2 linked regions of the Drosophila melanogaster genome follow. The protein of the gene in region 1 interacts with the protein of each later gene in a pairwise test. Each region holds a gene or a part of one and is shown in the gene's direction. Other genes may lie near its edges. The genes, in order: SCAR and Abi.

Evidence for each region.
Region 2: the proteins of SCAR (region 1) and Abi interact in a two-hybrid assay, tested with the Drosophila melanogaster proteins (2 studies listed by BioGRID, with this or other methods).

What each region holds. Positions count from the first base shown.
Region 1 is NT_033779.5:10,972,897-10,982,771, forward strand, and holds SCAR (SCAR), read left to right. Parts: upstream 1-3,875; 5' UTR 3,876-4,174; intron 4,175-5,001; 5' UTR 5,002-5,065; coding exon 5,066-5,810; intron 5,811-5,983; coding exon 5,984-6,085; intron 6,086-6,736; coding exon 6,737-6,817; intron 6,818-7,548; coding exon 7,549-8,216; intron 8,217-8,282; coding exon 8,283-8,532; intron 8,533-8,590; coding exon 8,591-8,769; coding exon of another isoform or gene 8,770-8,826; 3' UTR 8,827-9,499; downstream 9,500-9,875. Other genes in the region: CG16743 (uncharacterized protein), read left to right, coding at 1-334; abo (abnormal oocyte), read right to left, coding at 640-1,314, 1,372-2,316; ATPsynG (ATP synthase, subunit G), read right to left, coding at 3,006-3,265, 3,355-3,394; piwi (P-element induced wimpy testis), read right to left, coding at 9,762-9,875.
Region 2 is NT_033777.3:14,118,090-14,125,628, reverse strand, and holds Abi (abelson interacting protein), read left to right. Parts: upstream 1-3,208; 5' UTR 3,209-3,351; intron 3,352-3,379; exon of another isoform or gene 3,380-3,516; 5' UTR 3,517-3,527; coding exon 3,528-3,883; intron 3,884-4,159; coding exon 4,160-4,782; intron 4,783-4,843; coding exon 4,844-4,934; intron 4,935-5,006; coding exon 5,007-5,018; intron 5,019-5,156; coding exon 5,157-5,344; intron 5,345-5,400; coding exon 5,401-5,564; 3' UTR 5,565-6,367; downstream 6,368-7,539. Other genes in the region: 140up (upstream of RpII140), read left to right, coding at 153-325, 389-554, 616-704, 767-1,124; twf (twinfilin), read right to left, coding at 1,442-1,594, 1,879-2,654, 2,756-2,833, 2,893-2,917.

The sequences.
Region 1 (9,875 bases):
TCAAATGGGAGGCTATCCTTCATATCCCTACAATCTGTACATGCCCCCACCACCACCACCACCGCCACACCCGCAACAAGCTCCGCCACCATCAATGTATCCACCCGACCCGTCCGGATATCCAGGCGGCTATCCACCGCAGGGGGCTCCCGGACAGAATCCAGTTAACAACCCAAATGCGATCCCCAATCAGCCTCAGGCACAGCAGCCTGCCAGCGGCCCGGGATCAGGGCCTGCCCCGAACTATCCTCCAGGCGGCTCGAGCGTTATTAATCATTCCCTTAAGGTCAACAAGGAATACAACGAGGACGGTCACCACCAATCTTCAACGTAGTCGCAGTCGAGATACAATGTTACATGAAACTTTAAACGTCGGATTGGGCCTCAAGTTTCAAGTCGGCCTTCAATACAATGTAGCAAAGTCGAATTAAAGATTTAAACAGTACTTGGAATTTTCACAATTTTCACAGTCTTTGATTAAATAAAAGAAAGAAATGTTCTCTTACCATTGTAAATAAAGACATTACTGAAAAGGTAAAACGAGATATTTTAGTATCACATATATTTCATAATATAAAAGGTACTTGAATATGTTTTATACACAAATGTACAAAATCATGTATGTACATATTAGGCAGTCTACTTTTCCACTATTGTGCTGTGGTTATACAAGTGCACGTGGTAGACGTAGCTGTTCATGCATTTCTGGATACTGAGCACTAGTGGGTCAAAGGGATGCCAAATAAAGGCGCACAATTCCCGTGGCGCCAAAGGATTTAAATGCCGGCGGGCCGTAGCGTGCAGTCTAAACTTGATTGAATCCGTGGCACGGTCAAGAAACACAATAGGATCGTTGCAGCAGCGATGGGGTTGCTCCAGAGGAGACACGTACCGACTGTCGTATCTAAATTCGTTGAACTTTAGATAGGGCGACGAGGAAAGGCTCTGGGAGCTGAGTGGAACGCTGGGGTTGAAGCGCAAGGCCGTATGTCGATCGACGGAGACCGATTCATTGGAATCCGCAAAGGTATGCCTTAGGAAAAAATGCATGGGCAATGAAGGTGCATCACCGAATTGCAGCGATCGATCATTGCTCATGTAGTCATTGAATTGCAGTAAGATTTGCAGCAGGTTGACGGAATATTCCGGATAAACGCCAACCACTTCTTCGCCAGTTATGGTGTAGAATACATACAAGCGGCGCGGTGATGTAGCCATGGGCATGGTATCGGTACCATTTGGCCGCTCTTCATAGCGCAACATTAGAAGTTCATTGTTCACCAGATGCATTCTCTCCATGATCATGTGTTCTATCTAAATGAGATATGTAAGGATGTGAAGACCGTTGTCACTCTTTATAATGTTACTTACATACTCAAAGTTTTTATAAAACGACTTCTGACTTTCCGTCGGGTTGCCACTTTTATCATTAATTTTACGGTACAGAAAGCTAAGGACGCGCTGTTTAATGTGCGTTATGGGCAAAACTGTGGTGGCGTCAAGATTGTCAAAGTCTGTGGTAGCCTTCTCGATAAAGTCCCTCGGCCTGGGACCAATAGTCTCCTGCTGGTGGAACTTACCGTCATTCACCCAATAGACGTAAACGCACTGATGCAGCCGGGACATCATCATCACTGTTGAGCCAAACACGGAAATTCCATGATTGTGGGCAATGACGATGGAGTCGTTAGGCAGGATAAGTCTATCTGTGACGACGCCTAGCTTCAAATCCACCAGAAAGAACACATACGAGAAGGCGTCCACTTTGTCGAACAGATCTGGGTACCGTACGTAGTCATCGACCGGCAGTGCGCCGCGCACAACGGTCATGGCAGCCAGCATGGCATAACGACCCTCTTCCAGGAACACACTGAACTCCCGGTGCAGATAGTAGAGGCCAAAGTCGCCTTGGCATAGATTCAGCGTCTCTTTTGTGGGAAACAGGCGTTCAAAGATCCTGCTCTTGAGTATGGTGTCCTGGCTACTGAAGCACTCGCCACTGCCTACATCCGCCTGGCGAATCAGTTCACCCACCGCCGCACAACTAGAACCCCCGTAGCTGTATATGAGCAGACTGCGCTGATCCTGCGAGAAGGCCAACAGTTTTCTGCCATCCGGCGTAAACTTGCGCAGGTAGATCGGCGGAATGGTAATCGAGTCAATTGTCAGGCAAGGCGTGATGCACTTGTAGAAGAGACGCTCGTAGGCCAACAGCGGCATCCTGCCCGGCTGTTGGCCCACGTTGGTGTATCCGGACTCGCGGTTCTGCAGCAGATGCACGAGGTTCTGCGATTGTAGGCGCTTCTTGTAGGCCATTCTGACAGATCCTGGGAAAGTTCTGCCAAGTTCCTATTCCTAATGTCAGCCGGGTTCTTCTTCCGATCGGAAGGTAACTAAAGTAAAGTGTGACCGCAGTTAGATTACAAAAATTTACTCTGTCTACAAAAGTTTTGTTGTTAAAAAATATAAGTATAATAATAATAATATTAATGCTTTTCAAGATTCAAATAAAAAACGTTATTTATAAATAAAATAATTCAATACATCTTACTTTACTTTGTTTAAAAAAATGTGTAAATGAATTATCTATGAAAAGCAAATTTAGATTTATTTATTTTTTTTTTTAAATAAAATTATTCTTGAGTGCTTTTAAATGCTCTAAGTATATTATGTATTTCTGAACCATTAGCCTCTTTGATTACGACACCGTTTCATAAACATTTGATGTATAACATTACATATATTTTTTTAATTTTTATCATTAAATATCGTCAACTTTTAATTCCAAACTTGGTTTTACATCACCTCATCTTTAGCTTACACAAATCCCGCGCAAACGTTCTAACGGTTTTCAAAAAACAATGTATTTTTCGAAAATTTTCGGAATTTTAAATTACTATTTCACTTTATTCAGAGTCGAAATGTTCGCAGACATATAAATATACACATCTGTTAGGGATTACGTTGCCCATTCCAGTGACTGCCAAGCGGAGACTATAGTAAGCTTAGACATTGTAGCCTACAATGTGACGCTTGCCGATGCACTCGCCGATGTAGAACCAGAAGATGACCTCGGCGGTCACCAGGGTGTTAAGCCAGGCCTCGCGAACCGTGAGGTTCTTGTAGGCGCCGGTCTTGGCTCCCTTGATGATGTTGCCCAGTCCTTGGCGAATGGCCGGAATATCGGCGGGCGTCGGGGGCGTCAGTTCCACCTTGGCGTACTTCAGGAACACGTCCAGTTGGGGCCTCGCCTGTGTGAGGAGCCCTGCAAAAAGTGATCATTACATAATTTTGCGATTGACAGGCGCCAATGGTGGTGTATCCATTCGATTGCATTCGATTCACGACACTCACTGTTCACAAGTCCTGATCCCTTGGTAGCCAAACTCGCCATCTTTTCAATTTGGTTCTGCAAGCAGTTGGAATTATACAAGAGGAAATCAACGAAATGTGCGGAAAACTTACCTATTCAGTGTGCGACGAAACAGAGATGTTATGCATTGGGGCCAGGGCTGGAGCACTAGTTATCGATCGGCGGATAAATACCAAAAATACCAAATATACATTTCTAAAGTTAATGGAAGAAACTGCAAACAGTAATTTTAAATAACGTTAATAAAATAGCTTATTATGGATAATATAGAGTTAAAATAAAATAAAATAAATTGAATATATATTTATATTTAAAATATTTCATTCTATACAGTAAATAAACAATATGAAATGAGTTACTGAAAATTCCCTTGCAAAATTTATTTAAATATAGTAATTAAAATACATATTACATTTAATATAAAAATAACTTTTTCCCCACCGCATCGTGCAGTATATTTGTCTGATTTTCCGAAATGATGAATCCCTGCAGTATTTTCGAACCACAAAGCTTCGGTCACACTGCAAAGGTGTGGAAATCTTAGTTTCCACAAAACGAGCAAATATTTGCAGTTTTCAAGCCCCAAATTGGCTAATTAGAGTTCGCATCGGATCGAATTTGCCACCGAACCCCCGAAACGGAAGTGGCTGCTTAATGTTTGTTGTGGTGCCAGCCGCCAAACGAAAAGTGTGACGGGCGGTGAGTGTACGATATGCTGTAAAGTGAGGTGGACTGTGTAAAACTAAGCTGCGCCGTTCAAAACCAAAATCAAAATCGCAGCAGCCACTACGATTAGAAAGTGTGAGAGATACCTTTGTGTGTGCATTGTTGCGATTTAGTGCGAATGTTTCAGTGCGAAAATCTGAAAGAGTCAGCCGTTCCGTCCCACACATATGTATGTACATTTACTTGGGTGCTGCTGCTGCTGCGGTTCATGCGTGTGTGTGAGTGCGTGACGGTCTAATTTGCGTTGGTGGGAGGCCGCCGACGATATACGTATATGCACGTATGGAATAGGTGCCCACGTAAAGGCCCCAGGTCGTAGCACCCAGAAACTGCCACCGAAAAGGGGGGCATTATCGACTAATCTCGCCGGGACTGCAAGGTGCATCTTGCGGGGGTGACTTGGGCGTTACGCCCTTATCACCTCGCTGTGGGTATCGTTTCGTGGGGTGTGGTCCAGACGTCGAGTTCGTCAGTCGCGCATATCACAAAACAATTCAAATGGCATTTTGGTGATTGTAATGAACACGTCTCATGGATACATGGATAAGCGTCTCGTGAAATCTTCTGCAATACCATTCTGAGTCTTGTTCATAGACGGTTTAGTATAGTGATGACAAAATTTCTTTTAAACCAATTTTGATAGTATCCAATTAACTTTTTAAACGTCTACTTTTACGGGAAAATTTATAAACAAAGTTAAACGACAATTTGGGAAGTACAATTTTATCGGAATGAAATGTCTTCAATTGATAATCAGCATAAAAAGAAATCTTTTTATTATTGATCCCAATTTGGCATGAGATTATGTAGTAAATCAGTAAATAAAGGGTTTTATATTTAATTAATTTTAAATGCATTAATTCGTATTAAAACAATTTATTACTTATTAATGCCGTTTTCAGTCGATGAGGACGCACTAATTTACGGGTTTGCCAATTTGGAGATAATTGTCAATCGCGCCCGACCATGCCGCTGCCCAAACGATCCATAGAACCCGTGCATGTGGCCCGCTCCGTGTATCAGCAGGATGAGCTGCAATCCGTGGAGCTGGAGACGGTCACCAACACCACGCTGACGAACATCATTCGCCAGCTGTCCTCGCTGTCCAAGCACGCAGAGGATGTGTTCGGTGAACTGGCCCGCGACGTGGGCAACATCGGGGATCGAGCTAACTCCCTGCAGGCGCGCATCGATCGCCTAGCTATCAAAGTTACCCAGCTGGACAGCACAGTTGAGGAGGTGCCCTTGACGGACATTACCCGAAAGAAGGCCTTCAAGTCGGCCAAGGTTTTTGATCAACAGATCTTCTCGCGCGCCACCATGCCGGCACCAATGATGGACACATATGCCCAGTGCGACAAACCGCCGCCCCTCGACAAGCTTAATGTCTATCGAGACGATGGCAAGGATGGTCTTAAGTTCTACACGGATCCGAACTACTTCTTTGAGTTGTGGCGACAGGAGATGCTGAAGGATACCGAACGTGTGATGCACGACAAGGGCAAGAAGCTGAACAGACCGCGGCAGGATGGCGGTGCCGGCGGAGCTGCTGGACGTGGCAATAAGAAACAGAAGACCAAAATAAGGGTGCCGCACAATACGCGCGAACAGCAGCGACAACGTGCACTGGTGCACGGCGAAACATTGATGCCCAACAACGTCATCTACCGCACACCGAATTCCATGGTCAACGAAGAAGCCGGATACGGAAGTAAGTACTTGGCGAAAGGGATTGGTCTCCGTGTGAGCCAAGTATTCAGTGCGAACCAAATTCATAGGCTGTTATTGGTACGTTCGTTTCGCGCACTGACTATTTGCACTTGTCTTGCCTATTGAATGGTACATCTATTTTAATTATCAATTATGTCCTGTCTGCCCGTGTAGTTCAGCTAGTCAAAATACAGACTGTGGGCGAGGCTGACATCGATTTGCGGCATAGCACTCTCGATGCGCACCACCAAGTTGTCGGTAATATCCAAGACGTAGGTACGATGATGGGGCCACGTAGCTTTCATTTCCGCCCGGCAGACATCCCACGATACAGATGTACCCGCCATTCATTCACCTACTTCACTCAAAAGCTCGCTAGTTTTCGATGCGCCTCAAAACCCAGTTCGAAGATCACTAATTTGTATTATTTTGAAGTTGCTATTAATTGAAATTAACCCACACAATCATGACCCAGAGAAAGGTGACCGAAACAAAGTTTCCAGAGCTTAAAAAATAAATGAAATGGTACTTAACATAAATTCCATCTAAAGTTTGATTAAAATCTCAGATACAGGATATATTCGATCTAATTCATTATTATTACACCATTAGCAAAATGGTCTATGGCCAGTCTAGTTCATCCTCCTGTAAGTTAGCAAGACTTTCGAACTTGATTTGTCTCTAATTTGAATTCACTGACTTTGTTCCAATGAAGTTCGTCTTGTTGATGGTAAATACAATACGGTCAGAGAACCTTACAATTTCATTCTCCGAATGGTCGATTATTTTTCGCAGCTTTTATTTATTTGCATGTTGTTTTTATGAACTACTCTTTCGTTGTTTTCGGTTATGATATTAATGAACGTGAACATAAATATGCATTGCAATTACGAATGGATCAATCGCGCATAACCATCTCATTTACAGATACAGTAAAGCCTTATAATATGCTTTCGCATTTGGAGAATAACAGTAATGTCACCAAGCAAACCGCCGTTGCGATTGCAGGTTAGACATCCACATCCACTTTTAGCAAGCTCAGTAAAGACTATATATGTTCTTTCACTCGCTTCTATCCCCATATTACCTTACTAGCAATCCTTTTTGAGTTCCTTTAGCATTTGTGTGTACAGAGAACACTCTCTTTTTCAAACTATCAATCGGAATGGCGATGATTTATGAGTTTCATTGGTCATGCAAAGTGCAGATTTATTATCTCAAAACACTGTAAACTAGTCACCTTCTAACTTGCAATTTTAATGTAATGTGTGTGCACATTATATTTACAATGCATCTTGCATTTTGCATAATACTTTAATTCATTTCATACTCGCGATTCGTGATTGAGCCGCAGTTTTTGTTTAGGATCCTCCTATCTTTCTGTTGTAGTTCAGTCAATTTCCATATCTACGTCTACATGTCACTCTGCAGCTTTACTAATTCCTTTCTGTCGCCACATCTTATTCTACGAAAGTATCTCTAAATTGTTTTCTGTGCAACGAGCTAACAAAGACTTTTAATCGGATGTTTGTATATTCAACAAAATTTCTATTCGAGTCCAGCGGTCTCATATGCACAGAAATTTGGAATTGCTTGTAATTACATATGTGTCTTATTGTTCCTCGGCTGTAATTACAAAATAATTGGCGTGTTTTTAAATGAGATGTGTGTCCTGTAAAAACGTTCATTTTAATGGGTGGTTAGTCAACGGCTCTAATATCTCACATTCATTATTCTAGATATGGGAGTGTACGATACACGTCCGCCACGTCCTAACTCGATCGAATTGAACCGAAGCTATCAGTCGGAGCAGATCGATGGTAGCACCTACGAGCAGCTTCCACCGCAGATGGGTAATCAGTATGCTGCCACCTTCGGCAACGGCATGGGTGGCCCCCAGCAGATGCACATGCAGCATCAGCAGATGTATGACGCCGGAATGTATCAGTCGCATGCGCTGTACGGCCAAACTGGACAGGGAGTGATGTCGCCGGAGCCCATCTACGGACCGGGAACACCGTCGCGTAACAAACCGCGTCCGTCGCAGCCGCCACCGGCTCCGCCATCGAATGGCAGCGGTGGTGGTACGCCCACAGCCTCCAATGCCAACACTCCGACAAGGGGCAGAAGTATGTCGACCAGTCGGGATGCCTTGCCACCGCCTCCACCAGTTCCAGACGTCATTTCACCAATGTCTGGCATGAACGGAGTCAACAGCGGGCATATGGCGGCCAAACTGCTTGGCCGGGCGAACAGTTCGTCGGGAGCTGGATCTCCCAACAGCGTCCAGAATGCCAATGATATGGTCATGACGCAACTGAGCAATACTTTCCACAGCATCGGTATGACGGGCAATCAACTGAACTCCCTTAGCGACTTGCCGCCACCGCCGCCGGTTCCAGATCAGGTTTGTTGTTCACTGATGGGTGTTAATATATCACAATTTGGTTTAATTTGTGGCAAAACCTTACAGCACTCGCCTAAGATGTCGCCACCTAATGCCGCGCCACCACCGCCGCCGCCACCGCCTCCAGTCGAGGAAGGCATGGGCAGTGGCAACCAACACACGCTGCGCCCGCATCAAATTCTTCCCAAATCACTGGCCAATGGCGAAATGCAGCAGCCCGGCCAACAAAATGGTGTGCCTCACATTGTCGCACCCAAGAAGATGCTGCCTCCATTCCATGACCCACGCAACGACTTGATGAAGGCCATTCGAGATGGTAAGTAATTGCCATTCAAGGTTCGAATGCAAAAATATCATCAAATTAATCTTTCCAGGTATTACTCTACGTAAAGTTGAAAAGTCAGAGCAAAAGGAAATTGAACGAAACGCGGCGCCATTGGATGTGGCTTCAATCTTGGCCAGACGTGTGGCTATCGAATTATCCGAGTCCGAGGATTCGGATAGCGAAGACGACAGCGAGGGCTGGATGGAACCGAACGAAACATCGGCTTGATCCCTGATTAACTCGTTAAAGCCTGACATAATTCTAAAAAACAAAAAGAAGAAGTAATTCCAAAGAGAATTAATCCATACGATGGTCGAAACCAAGCGTGGTATGAAATTGGATTACACAAAAGCACCAAAGCTTTTCTACCACCCTTTATACAATATACACCTAATCCTAAATAATATGTCTAAAATCAAAAGTTTCATTGAATTGTATATACACCAACGAGTAATTATCGTTAAATTAATCGCTATAGTGAACGAACGCATTTGCATTTTAAGCCTAGACGACAATCCAAGGAAAGCGATTTAAAAGACTTGCTAATTTTGTTCGCTTCTTTGGAGTCAAGGTCTGAGTAGATATGGGCTTCTGTATCATAGTAGTCGGTGTTTGGATATTAAATTATAAATAATCGATATTATCACTGAACTCAATCCTACCCCAACTTGCAATCGATACGATTAATATAAAACATTTATCCAAAATGAAAATTTAGAATTTTGTAAATACAAACACATTAAAATATATCGAACTCCGTAGCATTTCAGTATACTCAACAAGCTATGAAATTGTATTATCCTTGTGAAAGTTAAATACCTGTATAATTAATAAAATATGTTTCACGAATATAAGCAGCCATGAATGTGTGGTTAAGTAAGCAAACATGGATGTATGTAATTTTTCTTTACATAAACTAAAATATACAATAAAAAATAAAGTAATTATATTCCAAATTAATGAACATGTCTTGATAGATAACTTTAAATGTTTGTTTGGGAATTTCCTCTGGTCTTATGCTTAAATACCAGAATCTTAATCCTCAATTTTGCTTTTGTTTGAAAAAAGAGCAGTAATGCATTTCAAATACAAAATATTTAGTCATAAATGCTGAAGTGCTTAGCAAAAGTAAGAAAGTATTGAAAAAGTATAAATGTCTGGGCTAGTTTCATATATGGCCTCTTAGTAAGGATTAATACTCCATTCTAAATTATATCCAATTATAGATAATAAAACTTCTTTTCGAGCGCGTTTTGCGGAATAGAGTGCAAGTTCGTACCCACGAGGGTAGCTAGCTTCTTAGCGTACTGGCAAACTGCTGGCACTCGTGTGGT
Region 2 (7,539 bases), on another chromosome or scaffold:
AATTTTATTAATAACAAACGCATTTAAATTAAAAACAATTAAACCGAGAGTTTGCCAACACCAATGACACGCACACTTTCCAACACTAACAGACCGGCAAACAGCTGAGATTGTTGTACTCGTTTTACTTGGTTATTTAACACGCTTAAAAAATGAATTTTCTGTGGAAAGGACGCCGGTTTCTGATCGCAGGCATCCTGCCAACATTCGAAGGCGCCGCAGATGAAATAGTCGATAAGGAAAACAAAACATACAAGGCCTTTCTGGCCAGTAAACCACCAGAGGAAACAGGACTGGAGCGCCTCAAGCAAATGTTTACAATCGAGTAGGAAAACTAAGAATTCCATTTATACTAAAATCTACTGACCGTACATAAACATTTAAATAGCGAGTTTGGCAGCATATCCTCCGAGCTTAACTCGGTTTACCAGGCCGGCTTCCTAGGATTCCTTATTGGAGCTATTTACGGCGGAGTTACACAATCGCGCGTGGCCTACATGAATTTCATGGAGAACAACCAGGCCACAGCATTTAAATCGCACTTTGATGCCAAGGTAGGTATCTACGTATTATCATTTAAATATGTTATAATCAAGTTTTTAATCATAATTACAGAAAAAGCTGCAAGATCAATTCACAGTCAACTTTGCCAAAGGCGGCTTCAAATGGGGCTGGCGAGTGGGACTTTTTACCACATCCTACTTGTAAGTTCAGCAACACGAATTCAAATCTGTATCTGTGTGATACAAAAATGTGTTCCTTACAGCGGCATCATCACTTGTATGTCGGTGTACCGTGGAAAATCCTCAATCTACGAATACTTGGCCGCTGGTTCCATCACCGGCTCGCTTTACAAAGTGAGTCTTGGTCTGCGGGGCATGGCGGCAGGTGGAATCATTGGAGGTTTCTTGGGCGGCGTGGCTGGTGTGACGTCGCTGCTGCTGATGAAAGCATCAGGGACCTCGATGGAAGAGGTTCGCTACTGGCAGTACAAATGGCGACTCGATCGCGACGAAAACATTCAACAGGCGTTCAAAAAACTGACAGAGGACGAAAACCCAGAGCTTTTCAAGGCCCACGACGAGAAAACATCCGAACATGTATCGCTGGACACGATCAAGTGAGTCCTGAGGACTTAAAGAAGACGCCAGTGTGAACTTAGTTACTTTTTTTAATTTAAATAAATTGCATATATGTCCATCTAAAGTTACATAGACAAGAATACATTTAAGGAAGCCCACTTTGGCGGCTGCTATGCGATGTTTCAGTTGATGCCTAGTGCCTCTAAAGATATCGACTGACGTACGGACACATATAGACACGGGATAGACACAACACAAAAGAAATAAACGATTGGATACAATAAATTAAATGCTCTGCTAGGAAACAGTACGTAGAAGGGCGATAAACAGAATTGACTCGGTGGGATCGGGATTCAGACTTAGTCCTCTGCGGTGGGACGCGTGAGGCGCTTGGCGCCTCGGTTTGGTGGCCCCTTGGGCTTGGCAAAAGCCGGTCGGTGTAGAATCTTCTTTGGGTGCAGCTCGTCCTGCAAGAAGGCTTCGGTCAGCTCGCTGCCGCTGTCGATTTCAAGCTGAAATGTAAAACGTTGTTAGAAACATGAATCAGATTTAGTATGATTTAAAATTACTCATTATTTATGATTTACAGATTTCTATTTCAAGTGAAAAGTGAGACATTCGCCCTAATTATGATTCAAAATATTTCTAGAGATCGTGAATCAAAAGTATAGTGAATGTGGCGATTTGAAAGCAATAAATAAATCACAAACAATATATACCCTGCTTTTGCTTTTTATAGCCCTAATCTTTAGTGCTATTAGCGCAGCCACACCCACTCGCATTCATATCAACTCACCTTCTTAACAACCTCCACGCCAAGGGCCGCGAGCTCGTCGAGAAAAGGAGCCTTACAGCTTGAGTACATCATGCGCTCGCGCACGGAGCAGGAATATCCAGGCATGGAGTAGACGAACACGTACGACTCAAAGTAGTCGCCCTCGTGCGTGTGCCGAAACAGGAAGAGGTGGTATCGTGCATGATCCTCGGGCACTTGCTTCGGCAGATCGGCGAGCTCCACTTTGGCCGCACGCGAAACATGGATCTGTTCCTCCTCCAGATCGATGCGGAACTGAAGGTAGTCGTGCTTGCCGCGCACCAAATCCTGAACGGCAGCCACGGTTGCCTCGCTCAGCGGGCAATTGATCCCACCCAGAGTTTGGTGCCGCGTATTCGTATTGATCTCAGTGTGAACCTCTGTCTTTCGCAGCTCTTTCAGCTCCTCCTCCCTGCTGGTCAATGGAGCTGGGGCTGCGAAATCCTGCTTGTGCCGGCGATAGCCCTCCAGCGTGCACTCATCCAGAGTGGTGGCATGCAGCTCCTCTGTGATGTATGCTGATCCGAACTCCGTTTTCAACGTGGCCTTCGTGGAAGCGTATACCATCTTCTGTCGGATGCTGGCCGTGTCCGGCGTCCAGCTGATAAGTAGCCAACTGTAGCCCAGCGGGATCTTGGCGTCCAGGCGATAGAGAATATAGCAGGGCACATCCTTTTCCAGTAGGGGACCTATAAGCTTGTCGTAGTCGCGCTCCCAATCCTTTTTCGTCTCCGCCGTGGCGCCGCAACTAAGCTGCTCTGTAATTTGGGGCGGGGTGAAAACGGATGCGGGTTCGTTATCAAATCGTATGCCTAGTATATATCTTGTGTATATACGTTTCTGGATTAAATCCACTCACCATTCTCGATCGAAACTTTTATCACGCGAAATTTACCATTCTTCGCTTTGCCGAACACCTTGGCCAGCTGCTCGTTGGCTGAAAATACAAAGGGTGTTCTAAGGATGCGGATTAGGTGGTTCCCAAAGATAACAAACCTCGGATACCCGTTTGGTGAGACATTTGGACAACAGCTAAAATTAATATTGCCGAAAAAATATATTACTCACAACCAGTGTGACCGCAAAGCGCGAGTAGGGAAATACTAAACCGGGAAATATGTACCGATTCTGATTGGCAATCACTTCAAAGCGGCTTTAAATGTGTAAAAAAAAAAGAATTATTAATTAAAAAGATACTGTAATGCTATTTTTATAACTAAATTTTGGGAAAATTTTTAACACTCTGTTTTATAGAACATACATTTCAAAAATAATACCAAATGTGTCTGCACTGATACAGTGTTGAAAAATTCTTCAAGCTCCAGTACTTTGCAGCACAGGCCAGCGTTCTTTCTTTTTTCACGGAAAATGTAATGAAAAACTGCATTTAACTGCATTTAAAACGTAGCAACTAGCCCGGAAAAGCATCTGTTGTGCAATCGCATAGTCAATAAAGTGAGTGCACGCGAGATTCGTCCGATTAAACCGCTCCAGCGATCAACTGGAGCAGCTGGGCGTCGACGTCGGCAGAGGCCAGCCCACGCCCCAAATGTTTACGGGCGTGAAAAGTGCGGAAAAGCGAGGAATTTAATTGGGTTTTCGTTTCCCGTTTGCCCGCAGCATCCACACCCATGTTGACCGAAACCCCCATGGCCAGCGAGAACATCATGGACGAACTAGCCTCTCTGATACGCACCGAGATCCCCGATGGCCGCCAGAGTCTGCGGGACAGCTACACGAACCTGGAGCGGGTGGCCGACTACTGCGAGGACACCTACTACCGCGCGGACAACAAGAAGGCGGCCCTGGAGGCCACCAAGAACTACACCACCCAGTCGCTGGCCAGCGTGGCCTACCAGATTAACACGCTCGCCTATAGCTACATGCAGCTCCTCGAGCTTCAGGCCCAGCAGCTCGGCGAGATGGAGTCCCAGATGAACCACATCGCCCAGACGGTGCATATCCACAAGGAGAAGGTGGCCAGGAGGTAAGAACAACAAATTGCTTAAACTAGAATAGGAAAAGGGGATATGCATATTTTAAAACGACAAAGAATACGGAATGAACATTTTTGTCTGTAAGTACGACTCATCGGTGATAAAAGCTTCATAGAGAAGAAATGTACATTCATACATGCGTCGTCAGACGTGCTGATAAGACTGAACGTCTCTTTCTTCATTCTTTTCCTACATAACTATTTAGTTTTTTCAATTCACTTTATTTGTATTAATTATTTTTGATTATCTTCATTGTCTTTTCTCAGAGAGATTGGCGTGCTTACGGCTAACAAGGTGAGCTCGCGCCAGTTTAAGATCGTGGCGCCCATCAATCCGGAGAAGCCCATCAAGTATGTGCGCAAGCCCATCGACTACTCGATGTTGGACGAGATTGGCCACGGCATTAACTCGGCCCAGCACTCGCAGGTGCGACAGAAACATCGGGGCTCCAGCCATGGGTCCGTGCAATCCTTATTGCCGCCGTCGGTGGGACCTCCGCCAACCACGAAGCCCCCAACTCCGCCGCAGATGTCGCGAGCTGGGAACACTGGCACACTGGGCAAGTCGGTCAGCAATACCGGGACACTGGGCAAGAGTTCGCGGGAGTACCGCACTCCGCCTGTGGTCAATCCACCACAGGTGCCATCGCACTACGCTCCCAACTATCCTATTGGGCATCCAAAGCGAATGTCGACGGCTTCTTCAACGATGACTACCACCACCACAGGCGGCGGAGCGGCGGGCAATGAACGAGCTGCTGGCTACAGTGCACTTCCGATGCCACCCAGCCAGCAGATAGCCACACATGTAAACCTGCCCTCCGCGGGCATGATGCAATCGCTGCCACCACCGCCGCCCACTACGTACGACGATCGCAGCAGCATGCCACGTGAGTTAATTTGATTATTCTGCAATAGCTCAATACTAATAATGCGGTTTGCAATTCGTAGCAGCTCCTCCTTCACCACTTACGGTTTCGCAGCACGAGATGACCGAGCAGAGTCACATTGGCATGCACACTTTGGGACGCAATATCAACAGGTAAGTTTCTGGAAAATGCAATCCCTTCTTTGTGTAAATATAACCTATTTATTGTTCTCTGTGCAAATCCAGGAATCCAAATAGGTAAATTGCATGTTTCTCTGTTTATCATAGGGTTATACTCAGCTAAAAAAAGTTATACTAGGTTTTCGTGTTTGTACTGTGTATAACTCCATGAAATTCATATGTTATCTTGTATATTAAACGCGTATTTTTCCAAAGGAATCACTTCAGCTTGAACTTCGCTCGTCCCGGCTCACAGTCGCCTCCCTTGCCACCTCCGCCGCCGCCGGAGGATGAGCATCAAGACTTCGGACGACCACGCACATCGACGGGACCGCAGCTGGCGCCCATAGTGCCCGAGGATCAGAACTTACCCGGCTGGGTGCCCAAGAACTTCATTGAGAAGGGTAGGCTGATTGGAGCAACTAACAATATACCTTACTAATTCTTACAAACATTCCAGTGGTAGCCATTTACGACTACTATGCCGACAAGGACGACGAGCTGAGCTTCCAGGAAAGCTCAGTGCTGTACGTGCTCAAGAAAAACGACGACGGCTGGTGGGAGGGCGTCATGGATGGTGTTACCGGTCTGTTTCCGGGCAACTACGTAGAGCCTTGTGTCTAAGCCTCGCATCGATATTCTAAACATGCCAACCATTACAATAATCTGCATCATCTGGTCTGTTCCAGTCCTCTGCTGCTTCTCAAGAGCTCCAAAAAATTTCAATTCAGTTATCGGAGAGTTAGACTGAGGACCGCAACAGACTCAGCTGACAATGACGATAAGATTTTGAGCATATTAATAAGGACAATTATACAATTACACACCTACACAAGCACAGCAGGCCAGAGAAAGCGAATTCCATTAGCATCAGCCAACCGCATTTAGTCTAATATAAACGAGCACACAAACACACAGAATCCACGGGCTAGGGATACCGCTTGCTGCCCAACTAAAACTATTTACACTTTAGTAGCCGAAAACGATGCAAGAAGGGGAAAGTGAAACCGGATACCCGTGAATAACTTATGCGATATTATAAAACTGTTCCACAACCGTAGACGAATTCTGTCCTGCTCCTGCCGCCAATCCAAATACTTTAAATATTTGCTCACAGTTTTATCAAGCGATTTCTGTTTGCCTTGCGCTTTGATATGCCCGGCTATTATACACCAATACTACCCGAACCTATGCCCCCAGCAATACTGTAGGTTATATAAATTTCAGTTAGCATTTAATACTTAAGTATTGGCCAGTTGGAACTTTTGTTTATACTTTTACGAACCGCAACGATGTCTTTTTTTTGCGAACGTTTAGTTAAAATGGAATTGCCAGCAAAGGAATCAAATTAAATTAAACAATACAAGTACACATACGCTCTATATGGTAAAAATAATAGCTAATAAAAATTTCAATTACTAAACCGCAAGCCCTTGTTCTATGACCGTGTAATTTGCGCTGACCTTCTCGTGAGTCGAGCCCCGGATGTCAGTAAAAATCCGTAATTGGGGCAAGGCTCTGTGGCCTGCCAAATTCAAATTCGAAATCTCAAATGCAAATTTCAAGTCGTGTGATGGAAGGCTTGAAATATTTGCAAATGCCAACACTCATTGGGGTCATTCAGTCAGTCAATCAATCCATTATAATCGACACTTTGCTCTACAAACCGATTTCAATTCAATGTCTCGTCCCGGAAAACTTTTCCATAACTCGGCTCCGGGTAAATTAATGCTTTCGTGGTGATATGTGGAAGGTTTTTTACCCATTTGCTAAATTTATTATCAGGTTTCGAGGAGTTGACGTGGCGGAAATGCCAGAAAAAAGTGGAGTGCTGGCATGATTTGCATAAAATGTGCTAAATTGTTGCCCACTTTTTGGGCCCCTCAACTATACATACATAAATATGGAAATACCTTTATTTGTGAACAATTATTGGAGTGGACCTGAACAGCTTGAAGACGGACTCTTTGAACGACTACTTTAACCCACAACTGGCCAGCGGCAGGTGGAACCCGCCAGGAATGTATGCAAAATGGCGCATTAGCATTTGAACAATGCCATAGTAAAAAAACGTGGCAACAACAATAGTTGGTTGATTGTGCCGTGCCAGGAGTCGAAACACCGCCCACCCAGCAGGCACCCAACCTGGAATCCATTCCAAACCCCCTGGACATGCCTATAATTTCGTTATTTTCTGACCAGGCCGAGTCGGACGCTTCAGTTGAGTTTGGTACGTCGACGCGAATGGTTCCACAAGTCGCTTTCATTTCGGATTCTACTCCACAACGTTCTTGGCGACCCAGTGTTTCCGGTGTGTTTTGACTTTAAGCCTCTTTTTTTGGCGAGTGGCGTGTCCGGAATAGTTTTCCGAGCGGATAAAGTGCAATACAAAACTATTTGTAAGTGAACCGCGATGCAGAGGTGCTTGAAAAGTTTTTATCATTTGTGTGTTTTACATAATCGAAATGTAAGCCGAGATTGGGGTGGCTCCTCTCTGCGGGCACCGCATTTAATTGACCTACTTGGTGCCGGATTTACTTGCTGGCCAAGTGTAAAATATTACATTATTCCATGTCAGGATTGGGGCCACTGGCCACTT